Drosophila melanogaster: one gene and its partner. The protein of the gene in region 1 interacts with the protein of each later gene in a pairwise test. Each region holds a gene or a part of one and is shown on either strand. Other genes may lie near its edges. The genes, in order: CG9932 and Sidpn.

Region 1 (8,882 bases):
GGGGGTGGAGTAGGTGCACCATAAATCACAATGATGGCCAGACTTGGTCAGTGGCCCAATATTGATTTAGGTCGCCCGGGTAACAGTTTAAGCTAATTGTCAGCCAGTATAGTTCCAGTGAGATGCTTGACCTGTAAGTAGGTATATATAGAATGGGAGGAGGCTTATTCTGGGCTTATTCTGGGCTTACAAATGTATAAGAACAACTAATCGAACTTAAAGGCAATATTTTTAAAGTCATCAACAAGAAACTTTGCACTTAACACCCAGCAAGATTCCCAGCCTGGCCATCAGCCAAATGGAAATGGAATTCGTCTCAAATCGAAATTCTTTGGGGATTTGGCATCAGCTCAGCTCCAAAACTATCTGTCAGACCAATAAAAACGGGAGCATCCAGCACGGAAAAAATGAAATACTCAGGTGACTGACGCATGGCCCAAACGCAAATACACACACATATACACTCAGCTATAATTTACATATTTTTTTTTGGCCAAAAGAAGAGTGGAAATAAAAAGGAGCAGAAACCAACCCAAAAGTAAACAGGAGTTTTTTCGGTCCAGCGGAAGGGGGATGCCCATTTTTTTTGTGGCCCAGGAAGGTTGGTTGAAATTGAAAACGGCGTTGATTATAATGTCAATACTCATAAAAACAACAGAAATGCTCGTACAACAAAAAGCGGTTTGCAATATGAATAACTCTAAACTTGTGACACACAGAAAAGTGCGATATATAGCCTAGGGCGGGGGATGCGCCGCAGCGCGGGGGCGTGGCTGATTGGTCCGCTTCTGCTGATGGGTGCGGTCCAAAACATTTGGCTCGCTTTACCCCTTTTTATTATCGTTGGGCTCTTATTTATTTTGCGGTCAGTGTTTTTGCATTTACCTTTTTGTGTTTTTTTGCTCTTTTTCCTGTTTTATCGTCGTGTCTTTTTGGAGTTAAAAAATCAAAATGTATGTTTCATGTTTCATGTTCCCCATTGGCACTTTCATGGGCATTCCTAATGCTCAGGGGATATATGGGGTATTTACGTTTTGCAGCTCGACATGTAAACTTTTATTAAATCATTTTCAAATGCTTTCGTTTCATAGTTCAGCTCGATATTATATTAATGGATCTAGCATTTACCAGACTTGAGCTTTTTAAAATTTATATTATTAAAATCTACCCTCTTCCTTTTACATAAAAAAAGGTGTTTATTATAGAGAGTATCCCACTTCTCGAGACTCTCTAATGCTCAATTGATATCTTGTTGTTGGCTTGTCCTTTGGCTACCTGCCTGATCCGCTCACCTTTCCGTTCAGGGGGAGTCCTCTTCGCCTCCACAGCACCTCGATGTCATTGTCACCCCTCGACTTTAATGCGCTTTGGCATGCTTTTAGGCAATAATTCATGGATTAACGCCATTTGGCTTAAGCTCGTTTCTTTGGCTGCTTTTAGCGCAGAGTTTTTGATATTTGGAGCCTCGCCTTCACCTTTTCGTTGGTGCCTTCGCCATCGCCAACGCCACTCGGGATTTGGGATTCGCATTCCTTGGAAGTGACTAATAAACCTTTGGTACCCATCCCCATCTTCCGACTCTCTAATGATCTTGCTCATTTTTGGCCACAAAACAGAGTTTCGTGTGTAGCGATTTGTTGACCACAACAAATTGCATTCGCCCATAGCCTCATAAATAACATTTGCAAGGGTCCCCGTGTATACATATATGTCCTTGTGCCTGGACAAGCTGAGTGACTGACTCCGAGGACTGACTGAGAGCACGTGCTAAGTGCCGAGGCGGTCATTTATCAAATCGGGAGGAGCGGGACGTATTGGTTCGCCTTGATTTATGCCTTAGAATATTATTTTTGATATTTAGAATTCCTTCGACTGCAGTCTGTGTTCGTGCTGATTCTTGGCAAATTTCGTGTGGCATCTTGTATCCTTTATCCTTGCGCCTGATACGAAAGCATTTCGCATGAAATTCAATCGGACCGGAGAGCATCCGCTTCTGTGTCCTGTCCTCCACTTGTTTTAGCCATTTCAATTCCCAGGCGGCAGAATATTTTGCGCTCGCTTTGTTTCTGCCAAGGCATGCAAAATTTTCGGATGACTGTTGAGTTTAAGGAGAACTCGAGGGAGAAATGGTAAAACGAGCAAAAAGATGCTTGAAACGGGTTGAGTCAGGATATGGGCCAAAAGGATGTGAAAGCAAAAACGAAAGACAAGCAGGCGGATGAAAGTTTTAAGCCAGGATGCATATTTAAAGACCAACTTCTTTTTTGCTAGGATATTCACAATATTATCCACACAATGCCTAATAATAAGATTGAAGCTGGATGCACTTAAATATTTAAGTTTGACATTTCCAAAGAATTCACATTGGTGTCTTGGTATTGATTTTATAAGTCTATGGTTTTTAATATGAATAAGGATTATTAGCTTGCAGTGAACTTGACTGTTTGGCAAAATAAAAAGAATTTCTTTTAAAACTAAAAAATATTTCCGCAAAGTTATAATGCTGGAAATTTTAAACAAAAGGAGTCCAAAGAGAGAGCCTGGTTAAGGAAACCTCATTGAGTAGCAGATGGCCATCATTGTTTGGGGAGAAGGGGACAACACCGAGGGGGTGGCGACTAGAAACTGTCTTGCGGGTGACTGAGGCTCCCAAGTGGCATTGGCAGCAGCCCATCGCCATTCCCATCTTGCGCAACTTCTTCTTCTTCTTTTCTTCAACTTCCGTTGCCTGAATTTCCGGCCATGGCTATTTCATTGTTTTTACCGCTACTTTTCCCGCGTCCTCGACTGGCACTTTCCATTTAGCTGAAACTTGATTCGCATTCAGGGCATTTAATAAGCGCTTATTGTGCTTAAGCCTCATTGTTGTCCGTTCATAGTTATTTGTGTTGTTCGGTTAATACTTTCAGTGACTTTAATGACCGGGAAGAAACAATCGGGCCCAAGCAAATGGCAAACTTTGCGAGACTTATCCGTAAATTAAACTTGGAAAACAACCAAGTTTTGATTGGACGGTGGGGAGCTCTAGCAGTGATTCGTTTAATAAGTTCCAGTCCTACCCACCACGTCTAATTGTTCTAAAAAACAATAATAAAAACATAAATATAAATTTTGATTGAATTAGAATTGGAAAATTCCGACATCTGACTGATTCATAGCCATGTTTTTACTTGTTACACATACTGAATCAGGATTTTGGGAATTTTTAAAGCGTTATTATCAAAACAATTCATATAGTAAAAAAAAGGGCGATTTTCCGAGTATGCAATGTTCTTTCATTCCCGATAAAGGGGAAAGTGGTTGGGGCTGTGATGCTATTCTGTGGCTTCTTTGGGCAATTAGATTGGGCATTTAGCCATGAAATTTGCGAACATATGGCTTCTATCAGGCAAGAACAACAAACGGCCGGTGCTAACAGAGCGGCTAACAGTGGGCGGTTAGCAGAGCGGTGAGCTGTTGGGTGTGCGGTTGGGAGGTGGTGGTGCTGTTTGGAAACTGCACTGTGGGGCTTGGCTTGGCGCTCTTTCCTCGTTCGCTTGCTCTCGCGCTCTCGGACTGTCTCTTTCGCATGCCCCCCACCAACCAGTTGTTCGTGCGACTTCGGCTGGCGCTCGGCTTTCGCTTCGGCAGTGTTACAGCAGAGCATCTGCGTTCTTCAACATTCTTCAACACAACAGCACCAGCAGCAGCAACCGCGGATGCTCCTGCTCCCCTTCGCTTCTTCTTCGCTCTCTTAAGCGTGGAGCTCTCTTGTCCGCTCCGCTCGGCTCTCTGGTTCGGTTCTTATGGTTTGTGCCACCGACTGGTTGGCGTTGGCTGGTTGGTTGGCTGTCGCTCTGCAGCTGCGTTCGTGCGCTTTTTGAAAATAGTTACAAGATGTTCATCGAAGTGAGTGGAACGCCGCAGCGGTTAAACGTGGACTCTTGAGCAGCCGAAGAAGCTCGCTTCCGAAATCGCTAAACTGAAGCACAATCGCGTTCTTTGAGTGGAAACGCCAGCACAAATAAGAAACAGCCCCAATCAAAGTCAAATCAAAACAACACTAATTCATCTCTGCGACTGGAAATCAATATTCCAATTCTTCAAGCCAAATAAATAGAAAACAAAATCCCAGTGAAGCAAGAAGTGCATTCGATTTTCCTGCTCGTGGAGCTATTGTTATTTTTAAATCGCTGACCGCAGAATATTTCTACTGCTTAAAATAGACGGCAACATACAAAAAAGTGATGCCGCCAAAACAGAAATAAACCGAAAACCAAAAGGGTAAAAACTCGAAAGTGCCAAAAAAAAAACAAATAAAACAAGAATTTCACTTCGAAAAAGTGCGTGTTCTAAAAATATAGCAACAAATACAAAACCGCAACAAAGAAGTAGCAAATGGGATTATTTTGCTGCCCAACTCAACACAAAACTGCATTTTGTTGAATTGTATATTCAATCTGGAAAAGCAAAGTGTCAAAGTGTAGTGCAAAAATATTTATAAATCTCTGCCAAAACATAAACAACCGACGAAACGAGAGAAGCGTATTCTACTCACATTTCGTGCATTTTATACAGATTTTCGTTTTTTTGGAATACAAAATAAACAGAAGTACAAGAGGCGGAATCCATTAGTTCCGCATTAAAGTGTTAAAATAAATTAAGTCTTGGATACTCCGTAAACTTTGCATTTTGGAATACTTCAGCAGCATTTTGGATATCCGTGCTAGTGAATTTGATATATATTTAAATATACATATTATTCGTTGCCGATCGATCTGGAGGGCATAAGGAAATAATTTCACAAAAGGTTGGTAAACAACTAATGTTTGTGATCTCTGTGATTGTTGAGTAATAGATTGTAGCTGACATAAAGAAAACCATTTATTGCCGTCGCAAAATATTTATATTATGCACACGTCGTTAAGCATACGACAGGTTGGCCAATGTAAGAATACGCTTGTGAACAAGCAAAAGGCCATGAGAAAAGTGCAAACAAGAAATATTGGCGTTTGCTTCTTTACACAATATTAAGTAAAAATATTGAAATATTGAGTAAAAATTAAGTCAGTGAAATTGAATGTTTTGGAACGTAAGTGTATGCAGGTCGATGTTTAATGTTCAAAGTGGTCAACATTTATTCATAAAATTAAAAATATAATTTTTGTTTGTTTCTCATTTATTTTAAATTATTTTAGATTAGATTGAGGTCGTTGAGTGATAAGTAAACAAAAATTCAGTGTATTGTTTTGACGTCATTTTCTGGAAAAATCCCAAAATGTCATATTACAAAGAATTGTCTGTAAGTCAACTAGAACATAAGCCCATAAGGTTTTAGAATCAGACTTGTTTGAAAAAACCTGGTCAACTGATTTTAATTGGAATAAACATAGCCAGCTGGTGGTTGGGTAATTGAAAAAGCCCAGCAGACTTTCCCAAGAAAACGAATCCATTTCGAACAGACCACAACACCTGGACACCGCCAAGTGCGAGATCTTTACAAAGAATAATATATCAGCCCCCCTCCCTTTACAAAGAAATAAGACGAAGCACTGTAAACAAAAGTCGCCAAGTGCATATCTCATTACCAGACCAAGGATCATCGTCCAAACAAAAGAAAGCATTGCGAGAAAGAACAACAAGTGTAGGCAGAACAAAAAGACAAAACTTTTCTCATTATCAACGCAAGTGTTTTCTGCACTCCCACATTTTCGCTGTATTTTTTTTTTACAATTTCCTTATAAGTGAAAGTGTCAGTCAGGGCCATGAATATGGCCACCGGGCAGCTGGTCAGTCTCAGTTCTCAATTCTCGGATGGCAAATCCCACTTCTGCCACCGGAATCAACGTCACACATAAAACTGTGGAAGAAAAGATATTATAGAACGAGGGACATTTTTTACATCTGTCATAAATTTTGCTGCACACGGGCATAAATCTATTTTCTGCATTTTATTTGTTTATTTAAAAATTCTTGTGCACAAGGAGAAGAAAAGAAAGACGAGAGCCATAATTTGCAGTCTGATTGATGTGACAATTCCTTAATTAATTTTTGGTTGGAAATACGCCTTATATATGGCTGGCATTTAATTAGCAAATCTGTTTTTGGGAGAGGTAATACATCAGGGCAAATGATGTGATGCGAGTGCAGCAGAGAAATGAGTTTATTCACATCGCCGAATCTATTATCTGGCTCGTTTACCTTCGCGCCGCCAGGTAATTGAACCCTACTCTTGTCCTGCGATGCCCTTCCTTCTTAGATACACATCTGTATATCGTTCCCACGATTTGTCAATCAATCTTTCACTTTCGCTTCCCTAACCATAGCATTTTTGGCAATTATTTTAGAGGCAGTGCCCCGAAAATTATTGGGTAAAGCAAATAATGCGCGCTCCTGATAAGAACCGCTTGCTTCTGTGGAGATCGAGTTCAGTGACTTAACTTATCACTGCTTGCTGAAACTTTTTGGCTCAACATTCTTCGTTCTTCGTTCAGCGTTCTTCGGGCTTCTTGTTTCTTTTCTGCTGATAAGAATGGCTGAGGCTGAGCTGCCGAAGAAACCGAAGCCACAGCCAATGTGATTACATTGCATTTTAAGTTGTCCAGCAACACGAGAGATTCCCAGATTGGATGGTGACGAATGCATGGCTCATATATGAAATTCTTCAAGGTATATTAAAATATCATCCAAGGAATGTTACAAAGTTAGTACAAAAGTTAATATAATAATCATTTATTATTATTTAATTGGCTAGGCTGACGGATTTATTGGCGAAAATTGCGGTCCAATGGCGACAGCTACAGCCTTTGAAGAACTGCCACTCCATGTCAGGCAATAGTCAACAAATATTTTCCTTCCATAAACATTGTTAAGAATGCAGAATGCATTACACTCTGGCCGCGCCACCCCCTCGATGGCCACCCAATTAGCTTTGGCTACTTGTGCAGTAAATAAGCCAGAAAAAAATATACAAGATGCTGCTGGCTGCTGCTGCAAAAATACAAAAAAAAAATGGAAAATGAAAAGCTGGCAATAGAGGAAAATATTTTCTGCGCCATATTTTGCAGCCAACGCACATAAATAAGCTCTAGACCAAGAAGCCAAAAAGGCAACAGAATGGGCGTACCAAAACTTGGTCGCATTGTTGCTGCTGCCACTGCCGCTCTGTTATGGTTGGCAACTGGCCAAAAAGACATGGCCAAATGTGCGCCAGTTCTCGCTGCTCAGCCCATCGTCCAAAATTTCAGCCTCCCAATCATCCCTTCTCGGCCAATTTCTGTTGTCGGCTGGCTAATAAATAATTTTAATTGTATTTCTTTTAGCTGTACTCTTCTATTTGGCTGGCCCACTTCTTTTGGTAATAAAAAGATTTCCATTGTTGCACTAGTTGGTCTGCGGGAAATGGCTAAAAAGGAACGTGATCAACAGCAAATTGAGTTCGCCTTTATGACTTGGCCAATTTGCACAGTATGTGTGTCTTATCAGGCTGCAGCGACAGCATTGAGGTTGGCCAGGTTTTCCCTTATTTTCCATCTCTTTTTTTTTATATATTTTTTGTTTGCACTTTTTCTGTGCCATCTACTGGTTGGTGCCTCCTCCAATCTTTGGTCGACAAATATGTCGAGTGCTTGACTTGGGCAAACTTTGTCACTGATAAGACTGTTGAACACCCCTGATCAACCGTCCTTCTGCTCATGTTCAAAACTCTTCAGTTTTATGCTCGCAACACCGTAAAAAGTTTTTGAACTATTAGAATATTTAAAAAAAAAGTACAACCAACATCTATTAGTCTCCTTCAATGGGTGACTATCACTTAACTTTCATGTCTTCTTTAGATATATCACTTTCTCCCCAATGAACGCCCAACTATGCGCTAGTTTTTCTCAGTGTAACAAACAGAACCATAATAACCATACGCCACGTTGCACTGAAACTTAAATGAAATGAAACGAAAGTTGTCTTGGTTGTGTGTTTTCTTGGCGACTTGGTCACGTCTTCAATGCACTTTGCTATGTGGTAGGGGTGAAGCGGGGTGGTTCGATGGTGTGCAACGACATTTATTCTGACTGGTTATTGGTGTTGTTGCTGCTGCAGTGGCAGAAGCAGAATCAGTTGGTCCCTGCACAAGTATCTATATCTACTATATGCTCGGATACGAGTATAGTATCAACGTATAAGACACACCCACACACTGGGGCGATGAGTTTTATAGGCGCTTTCAATACTGGGCCAAGGTAGTTTTTATCTTTTTACTTTGCCATTTCATTGTTGATGTGATGGCTGTTGTTGTTATTGTTGCTGGCTCGTCTGGCAGCTTTGGCAGATTTTTGTTGCTGCCTTTTGTAATTGCAATTTGCAATCCTTGAACAATTTGTTTTTTTCTCTTTTCTCTGCCGATTTGCTCTCATTGCCTGCTGTCTCTTTAATTTTGCATTACTCATCTGCTTAATGCTATTTATTTATTTTTCCTTTGCCAGATGCGAGGAAATTGTGCAGAAATAGCACGTGCCGGTGGCAACATTTTCCAAAAATATAACAACATTTAAGCACACACAGAAATTAAGAAAAAATCTTTGAAATCCAAGCTTTGTGTTCTACCTCCTTTCAATCGAACCAGAAAATCTCATATATACAATGATTTCAAATATTCACAAATTGAGAGAAGCTCTTTTGCATTCGAATTTCGATTTTCTATCCATTTGGTTTGTTAGTTTTATGTGTGTTTTCGATTTTTCAATGACGTCTGGCAGAAATTTTCCATTGCAACGAGACAATTGGCAGCCAAGTCAAGTCAAATGAATGCAATTGGCACACACACAGGGGCAGCACGGTCTCTCACCCCTTTTGGAAAAGCCCGCCACCACGCCCCTGCACTTGTGTATCTCTTATTCGATCAACCTTCC
Region 2 (9,663 bases), 6.0 Mb from region 1:
GCCAAACCAAACCAAGCCATGCCCCTATGCCCTGCCATGCCATGCCATGCCGTACCCCGCCCGTGCCACCATCCTATCTAGTGCCGCAGTTGGAGCACTCACGCAAATTTCAATTTTTTTCACACCACTGCTCCCTGCTCTGTTTGCGCCCCTCGTGCTCTCCCCCCCCTTCCCCTTCTTCGTACGGCCTTTACCATATTGTGGCCATGCCTTTGCGCAGCCGACAAAGTTTTCGGAAGTGCTATCCTTCAGACGTTAAAGCTATTTAACCACCTTCGGTACCTCAGGTACATACTTCGGTACATTACATAAATTCATTACACTGATAAATTCAGTGCTAATAGCTTTCAAATTGGTTTTATGTGTGTCCTACCCTCAATCATGCTAGAATTCAAAGTATTTTTAAATAAATGTATTTTAAAATATATCTGGAAATATCAATAGCGCCGAACTTTTGCGACTGTTATATTAAGTTCGATCTGGACGGATTTGTCGGTTGTTTCGAGCCATCATGCTTTCGTTCTTCGAAGCACGCGCCAGCACACATACACACAGACACCCACCCAGATACTCGCACTTGAACACACGCAGAGGAGCTCCAATAAAGGCGGAGTGGAGCACTGTGGGGAATTTCACCTGATTTGTTGGCAAAAATGTTATTTTGTAAAATTTTGAAATCATTTATAATTGTTTTTCTCGACGGATTAGGGGTTATGTTATGTAACGCAAATGTAAAATTAACAGTCCAATGTTACAAAATAACAGCTGTAAAATCAGCTTTTGTAAATATAAAGCACGTGGCGTCGGTGATTTTCCTTTTGTAGTGATTACTTAAATTCATATATGTATGTACATATTTTCAACCACAAGGCCTTAACAAATCAAATTTGAATTGAATTCTCATTCCTCAGGTGTGTACTATGTGTTTTTACTAATATGTTGCTTATTTTGGGCGTGTAAACTTAAATAACAATTTGTGTATTAATCAAGTGATGTCCTCGACCAACTTCTAGAATAAAATTTCAACTTTTAATATAGTTAAAAACAAGAGAAAATACTATAGTCAAGTTTCCCGACTATCAGATACCCGTTACTCTATCTAGTGTGAATGCAAACGAGAAATTTCATAAGTTTTCTGGGATATCTTTTTTGAAATTGTTCAAAAGTGGGGGCGCGACCGGCTTGGTCGTTTTGTAGGTTAAAGGAGGGGCGTGGATACCGTGTTTTCGGTATACAGATCAAAATTGGCGATACAAATAATAAAACGAAGAAAAATCTAAACACTTTTCAAAAGTGCGGGAGTGGCAGTTTTGGACTGCTTTAAAATGGGAGTGACAAAAAGTTTTTTCGCAAATCGCAATAAAAATTTACAGTAACGAAATCTACGAGCAACGGGTATAAAATATATACATATATGCACTGCATTTACCTTCAAAATAAAGAGCTCACTTTCGTAATTTTTCGAATTGGTTGGTACAGCTGCTTTCAAATTTTGTAACTATTTAAAGATTTCAAACCACAGAGTTATCGACATTGGAAAAGGACTGACACCTTGAACACCATGTGTTTTAATGTACTGGGAGTGAGCAATCTGCTACCCGATTGCAGCATTGCAAACCGGGTCCATCTGTTCTCTTTGCTGCAGCAACTCCAGAACCAGGAGCGTCGTCCGGAGGAAGTGAGTGACGAGTTGCGGGATCGCTACAACGTATTTCGCCAGGTTTTGCCCAACTACCCGCCACCGGAACAGCCAGACGACGATATGCTAGCAAACTTTGATGAGTTATTCCAGGAGCAGCTTTCAATATCGATCTTCACAGACACTGAATCATCCGGCGAGGAGACCTGCGAATCCAGTCTGGATAGTGACTCCGAGCAGATCAGCATCGGGATGGATCGTCATCATTAGACCACATTCAATTAAAAAGTGAAATTATGTCTTTCGTCTAATGTCTGCCAAGTGGTCGAGTAAATGAAAGTAAAACGTAGCCACTAATTGTTCGACAATAAAAAAGAGTAAATTCAGCATAAAATTATTTTTCATTTTTATTTTAATTACAATTTGGTAGTCAGTGGTACTAGCAAGGAATTTAATGCGCGTTTGTCGCGCTTGTTGTCCTGCCTAAAACACTGGAACCGGCTGGCCGTTTGTCCAGTGAAATGAGCCAGCTTATCAAATCTAAACAAGAAATAGATAACGATATATTTATTTATGCCAATAAAACAGGTGAAATTACCCATAGTGCGGCGTATTGTACGTGCTCTTACACCGCACAGTGTGGCGCACTTCCTTTTGATTTAGTCATTTTTCTCTCTTTAGCCGACACAACGGCAGGAGCAGGTCGTGTCATGGCCCTCTGCCACCAGCTCATGCTACGCCTCGTGTCCTTTTCCCCTCCGCCACTTGACAAACTGCCTTCCCCAACCGCCACCGAACCAGCAAACCAACCCGCCCACCGCACCGCTCGTTCGTTCTGGCTGTCCTGTCCTGTCCTGTGCTGCTTCCGTTGCCATTGCGGCATGGAGCGCACTTCCGAAGCTTTTCCTGTGGGGCTTTCCCTTCACTGGTGCGCCAGTGCGATTGTCTGTGTGCGAGCGAGTCCTTTGGTCCTTTTTCCCCCGCAGTTTGATTTTCAGTTCTGTTTTGCCACCAATACCTTTTCGCATTGTTATTGTTGTTCTCGCTGCCGGTACTGAGCACGAGATCCGTCTCCAGCCTGCTCCTGCCACTGCCACCGCTCCCTTGTCCTTCCGCCCTTCATCCGTTCCCCTTTCGCCGGGCTCCGGTTGCCACTGCTGTCTGCGCTTAACTTGCCTTTTATACCTTTGACTCCGACTACCAGTCGCAGGGAATGCACAGAAGCAAATTTTTCTTTAAGGGCATGTTCATTATATTAATAAAGTAGTTATTATGGGAAAAATATTTAAAATATTTCTGCTTTAGCATAACTCTGATTCGAAAACTAACTCCAATTGAATTTCAGATAAAACAAACATAACTTGTGATTATAGCAAAACTATTGATTATTAAGTTATAATACGCTATATAGTTATTTCCTTGGGTCCAACTTCAAGATACATGCTTAAAGTAAATCATAGCTTGCTTTTGTTTCAGTGTAGCTTTCTATCGCGGGTTGGGTATTTCCCTCAGTCAGCGATCCGTGGCCGAAGGTTGCATGTGGCCTGCTGCCGGCTGTTACAATGCCACTTCTCCCGCACGTCTGAGTGGGATGTGGGTTGTGGAGGGCAGAGGGTGGGCTGTAGGTTATCCGAGAGGGGGGAGGGGGTTGGCTCTGGGGACGTGGCAGTGGCAATGGGGCGGCCTGTCAAGTCGACCAGAAACATCGGCAGCAAGTGAGGCGGCTAGTGGGGTTGCGAGAAGTGGAGGAAGTGGAAAAGCCGGAGAGCCAAAGCCGTACAACTGGAGCCCAGACCCAGGGTCGTGGCAGGGCTTTTAGCGATGACGATGATGACGCTGGTGGCGGACTGCCTGCTCTCGGTGTGGCTATAAACGATTTATGTGTGTGCCAGCACCACATGACTGGCCCAGACCCACTGAACCACCGAGCCACCCACGGAGCCACCCACGGAGCCACCCGCCTCCGGATCCCAACCAACGCAAGCTTCCCAGGCCGCGAGGGCAGCATTCAAGTCATCGTTCAGTTTGGTTCAGTTCAGTAATTTGGCTGGCGGCAATGGCAGCTGGCAACATGCGCCAAGTGGATTGGGTTGCCAGTCCTCATTCCACGCACATATATTCTCGCCATCCTCGGCATTATCCCCCCAGATCCGTTGTGCGTAGCTTGGAGAGCACTTCCCGCGCCCCGGCCATGTTTGTGCTTTCCACACTGATTGCACCTGGCCAGGCCGCATAAAAACGCCACCTGACGAGTGCCAACGACCCACAGGAGAGCCACACTAGGCGTCACTGGGTGAGGCTCTGGCCTTCGCCAGCTTTAAGATGCGGCTGCTAATTGCTCATTATGCTCCCCCGTTTCCAAATTGGCGCTTAAAATTTCACAAAAGCACCGTTGTTTGCCTTGCCTTGCCGCGGGGGAAACTTCTGTTCAGGCGTTGCAAATTGAAATTCTACGTAGCCACAATGCGGCATCAGTTCCCGGAATCTGTCTTAATTAAATCAGCGAAAAGAGGAGGGAGTTTGGCTATTATGGCTGGTAAGAGATGCCCTGATAGTACGAGTATTCTGAGTACCAAGTTTTGAAGTATATGATTCCTGCTCTATTATACAAAATATTTAAGTGCATGTTCCCAGAACTAGTGATGAAATAATCCCAGAACTTTGTCTACCTAGAATTCGGGTTATAAGTACATACCTCACGATTCTGGCCAACCACTTTTCACTAAGTCGTCCCTTTAAGTCACATCATTGGAGTTTGCCACATAATGTAACCAGCTCTTGATATATGAATACCGACAATGCGGCACAGCCATGTGATGCCACTCATCGTCTGTAAAAAGAGCTAAGCTCCGATTATCCTGCCAACCTTGTGACGCATTATGTTACGTACAAATTCGATTGGTTTTGGATACACGCAGTGTCGGAGTCCTGTGAACCCGCCACATGTGGGCGCACTGCAGCAATGTGGAATTTCCATATTGTATGGCACGCAGTTTGGGGCACTTGTTGTTGGCCGCATTTGGACTGTTTAAATCGACGGGAATTGCAATGCGTTGCGCACCTTGTTAAGCCGCCGCTGATGTGGATGTGTGCCCGCCCACATCCCTGCCAATTTGTAGCCATCAACTTTGTTGCCACGGCATTGCGCCCCCAAAAACTCGCACCAGCAATCGTATTTATCTAATAGTCCTTTCTGCTGCCGCTGTCACAGTTGTCTTCGTCTGGATCCAGCCACTACTGCCATTCCTACCATTCCTGCTCCTGCTCCTCGCTGGCTCCCTCCTCCGTTTTCCGCTGGCCTGGCTTATTATTTGCCACGACTGCTGCGCCGCAGAAGTTTCGCCTCGTTGGTGTTATGATTTCGATGCGGGCAGCCGAATGGCAAAGTCAGCGACAGCAAACACCCACACGCCCGCTCATCCATCCATCCATTCAGCCATCCCACCCCCACTGACCCCGCACGACCCACAGCCAGTCGGTCGAAGGAGCAGGAGCTGCTTCGTCGCCCGCAGGCCACAACCCCGTACCAGATCCCGGCTCCGGCTAACCCGCCGTTGACGCAGTCCACCCAGTGAACAAAGTGTGCAGCACGTTTTCGGTCGACAGTTTGTTGTGGCGAGAAAAAAAGGTAATATGAATGATTTGGAATCAAATAAATATTTTGCTTAAAATAAAAACTAATTAAGTCTTGCAATCTAATAATAAGTTATTCATTTAGCCTGCTTTAGTTAATCAATTAAATTGTTAGCCTACACCATGCCCTGAAAAGTATGCTTTGCATTTTCTGCCAAAATAACCCTCATCCGCCATGTGTGCTGGGTTGTTTCATATTTGCGCCTAAGCGAATTGATTTGTATGCCTGTGTATGAGTGAGTTCCTGTGTCTGTGACTGAGGGTGTGCCAGTGTGTGTGTGTGTGTGTGTGTGAAAGCCAGACATGGTCACGCCGTCCGTCCAAATGGCGGCACGTCGATCCGGCTTGTCGCTTGGGCTGCCTGACATTTGCCGCAGCCAGCGCGCCACCAATCCCTCATCCCCTTGCTACACTCAGCCCCCTCCCTCCGCCCACGGGCCCATCCACCCAACGCCCACTGGCAACATGCCTCCGCTGCGTCGTTAAGCTCTTCGCCAAATCTATGTGTGTTTGTGTATGTGTGTGGAGGTCGGTGGGGCAACCATTACCACAACCACCATTAACGTGGCAGGCAGCCAGGCGTTGCTGTTGCTGCCACATCCACAGGCTTTGTTGCTGTTGCCGCTCCTGCTGATTGCTAGAGCTGTTGTTGTTGCTATTGTTGTTGTTGCTGCTGCTGTCGCTGATGTTTTTGTTGTTGTTCCTTTTATTGTCGGTTGACTCCAATCTGCTTTGGTTGCTGCGCCACACGACGATGGCTCGTGCCACTGCCAACAGCAAAAGCAGCAGCAGCAGCAGCAACATGAGCTAACCAAGCATTTCAGTCGGGAAATTTTGCACAAGCCAAGCGCACGCGGCAGCGGAAAATCGGAAAACCCCATTGCCAGCCAGACAGCCGACAGGCGACGAAGTGAAAAGTCGCAATTGTTTCGCTGCTCGCCGTCAGTTAGCCGTGAATCCTCGAACAGAACGGACGCGTGTCCTCCTCGTCGAGTGGAATTTGAATCCTGATTCCACCACCAAAAAGACGTGATTGTTGGCGGGTGGATTCTAAACTGAAAGTTTCGAAAATATTAAACCCAAATCAAGCCAAATTGAGAAAACGAGGCATTTCATTCTAATTGACGACGGGCAACGAATTCTTTTGGATTTCGTAAAAATGAGAAAATGACAGCAAAACGTGATAAGGATTACTCAAAAAATAAATCAGCACCTGGTAATAAACAAGTTTGTGCTTTATAAGTTGAATTCTATCAGAAAATAGGACTTAGAAGTTCAAAATGATAAGCTGCTCTTTTAAACGTGTCCTAAACTTCTAAAGTGAAATGTGACTAATAAATATTTGGCAAACAAAATTATAGAAAACAAGTTTCCACAAAAAAAAAACGTCCCACATGGCTCACCATTGTTTAATATATTTATATTTACTTAGTGACCATTAAACAAAAGTTAAAATAATAGAAAACATACTTTTGCAAAGAAAAAGCCACCTGTGGCCAAGAAGTATCAAATTAAATAATTTTCAAACAATAAAAAATTTTTTTGATTACTTTTATAATAATCTTAAACAAAAAGCAAAATGAAATAAAAGCACCAAAGTGTCTTGAAACTAAACATGAAGCTCCATTATGCTCACAACTCGGAACTCGCAACCTCAACTCAAAAGAATTTCATTTGAGTTTGATGATATATAGATATAGATGTTTAATTTTAAAACCGAAGTTCGTTGAATCAACAAAAAATTGATAATAAGCAAAATAATGTAACTTGAAAAACTGAACATGAGAATTTCAACTTCAAAAAGTTCTGAAACGAACGAGATAACTTTGTTTATAAATGATTAAATTACAAAAAACTTTCAGGTTATAGCGATAATTGTATTAATTATTGACCCTTCTGTATTTCCGCCAGGCATCGGATTCACCGCCGCCGGCTCAACTAATGGCAGCGGCATAAAGTCCATCGGGCTGGTGAGCTCAACGCAGAATGTGACTTCGTCGCAGGACATCAGCAAGCGGACAAACAAACCACTCATGGAGAAGCGCCGGCGGGCGCGAATCAACCAGAGCCTGGCCATCCTGAAGGCCCTCATCCTCGAGTCCACCAAGACCCAAAATGCCAAGAACGGCGAGGGCCAGGCGAAGCACACCAAGCTGGAGAAGGCGGACATCCTGGAGCTAACCGTTCGCCACTTTCAGCGGCATCGCAATCTCGACGATCCCAGTAAGTTTCCATATAAAAGTAAAAATTTTCGTATTATGACTTTACATTTTCGCTACAAAATGTAATTTTATAAATACATCTTGAAGAACATATCTGTATCTAAAATAAAATTCATTAAATTTAGGACCTAGGCAAACTTCTTATATTGAAACTTAGATAATAACATTCAAATCCTGATTTTCTTTCAGCGGTTAACAAATACAGAGCTGGTTACACGGACTGCGCTCGCGAGGTGGCTCGTTACCTGGCCACCCCGGAACCGCCGCCCATGGGCACCATGCCCACCTTGGCGGAGCCCGGCTCCAAGGCGCGACTGCTGCGCCACCTGGACCAGTGCATAGCCGAGATCGACGTGGAGATCTGTCCCCATTCGACGGCCGCGTTTGCCGAAAGCCCCAGCAGTAGCAGTTGCTTCGACCTGAATCACGGGAAGAAGTCGCAGCCCGAGGAGCATTCGCTGGACTACAGCAGCCAGGATTCGAATCCAGTGGACTACAGCAAGGGTCTGAAAATGGTAGCCGCTGAGCAGAGGACGCTGCCCGTCACGCCAGCACCCCAGGATGAGAACAACAATCGTGGACTCCAGGCGCAGGCGCAAACTCCGATACCAATACAGGTGCAAAGCCAGACACAAGGCCAGACGTCGCCGCATGTAGATGCCGTCGCTCCCAGCGAGCTGAGCTACGAGGAGGATCGCAACAAGGTGTGCGCCAATGTCCTGGAGCAGTACAAGCAACAGCTTAAGGCGCACGTGCAGCAGCAACCAGAGTCCGCCAACGGAGTCCTGGTCCTGCCGCCCCACTATGTCCAGCTGGCAGCGGCCCTTGGCCTTAGTGCCCAGCCGCTGGTGGATCCGATTGCTACCCGAACGGATTTTGAGCGGTTGATAGAGTTGCAACGGGTTCAACCACATTTGGCCGGCAAGTTGAGTCCCAGTTTTCCGGGAGGCTTGGAGGCTGCCCATGTCGCTGCCGCAGCAGCGGCTTATGCCAACAGCATGGCTGTGGCCGCTTCAGCAGGAGCCTCAGTTGCGGCAATGGCTACTTCCGGTGCCGGAACGCCAACGGTGCACCAAGAGAGACCTGCCTCGGTGGCAGCGTCTGTCAGTTCCGGCGTCTCGATGTCGGAACTGAAGTCCATGCCCGCCACGCAGCAATCCTCACCAAGATCCGAGAGTGGCATCGGTTCCAATGAGAACGAGGCTCCGGCGACCAGTCCGCGACCCCAGACAAGCAACGCCGCTCGTCAGGCTCTAAGGCAACGCCAGGAGGAGGAGTATCACTACATGGCCCAGGCGGCAGCTGCTGCAGCAGCAGCTGGGCAAGATGAGAGCATGTGGCGACCCTGGTGAGCCGTTAGGTCAGAGATCCTACGTACTAAGTATGTAGACACCACCAGTTAGTTAGGGGAGAACCAGCCGGCAGCCGGCGGTTTGCTGCCCCCACTGATCGCCAAGTAGAGGATGACACCTATTGTTATTACCGCTCGTCTGTGTAGCTCCTGCATCTCTCCAAATTGCATTTCCAACCTGTGCCAACGCCCAAGACTCTCTACAAGATGGGTTCCAGAGCCAAGGAGAGCTACCCTTTCATTTATGTATGCATTTGTTTTTGCCCTGAACTCTGCGTTAAATGTATTTAATTCAATACATAAAGCAAAAATATTTACAAAAAAACTTGAATTCTGTTTTGAAAGTGGTCGGGGTACGGGAAAAATTACGTTCTTGTTTTTGGTAATTCTATTGAATCATTTTAGCAATTTTATTAAGGTATGTACTATAAATACGATATAGATCCTTGCGGAGGTCCAATAAATACTTGTATTATATATTAGTTATATAAGTTTTCAAACAAGAAATGAGACTTAGCCTACTCTTCAGGTTCATGCTTTCTACTTTGATTTCATTGCACTTAGGGATTTGCGGGGCGCGGACTGCCGCTGGCGGGCAAGGAATGTCTGGCCAGAGCCCATCAATATTGCCAGCTTAGAGTCGATTGCATCACGCTGGGCATTGACACCCAGTCTGTAGAAAGCGGAGGTCATGAGTTGCTCCTCCATCACACTCATCTTCGGCTTGGGCTCCTCCTCGACGAGATCAGCACTCTTTTCCAGTACGCTAGCATCCAGAGCTGAAATTTCAACAATTATTGTAAATTTTTGTTATATTT

The links.
Region 2: the proteins of CG9932 (region 1) and Sidpn interact in a two-hybrid assay, tested with the Drosophila melanogaster proteins (one large-scale study listed by BioGRID).

Annotation. Positions count from the first base shown.
Region 1 is NT_033779.5:13,055,124-13,064,005, reverse strand, and holds the start of CG9932 (uncharacterized protein), read left to right. Parts: upstream 1-3,865; 5' UTR 3,866-4,789; intron 4,790-8,882.
Region 2 is NT_033779.5:19,021,618-19,031,280, forward strand, and holds Sidpn (uncharacterized protein), read left to right. Parts: upstream 1-6,092; 5' UTR 6,093-6,439; coding exon 6,440-6,488; intron 6,489-7,183; coding exon 7,184-7,495; intron 7,496-7,683; coding exon 7,684-8,846; 3' UTR 8,847-9,163; downstream 9,164-9,663. Other genes in the region: CG15172 (uncharacterized protein), read left to right, coding at 1,562-1,909; hook, read right to left, coding at 9,386-9,624.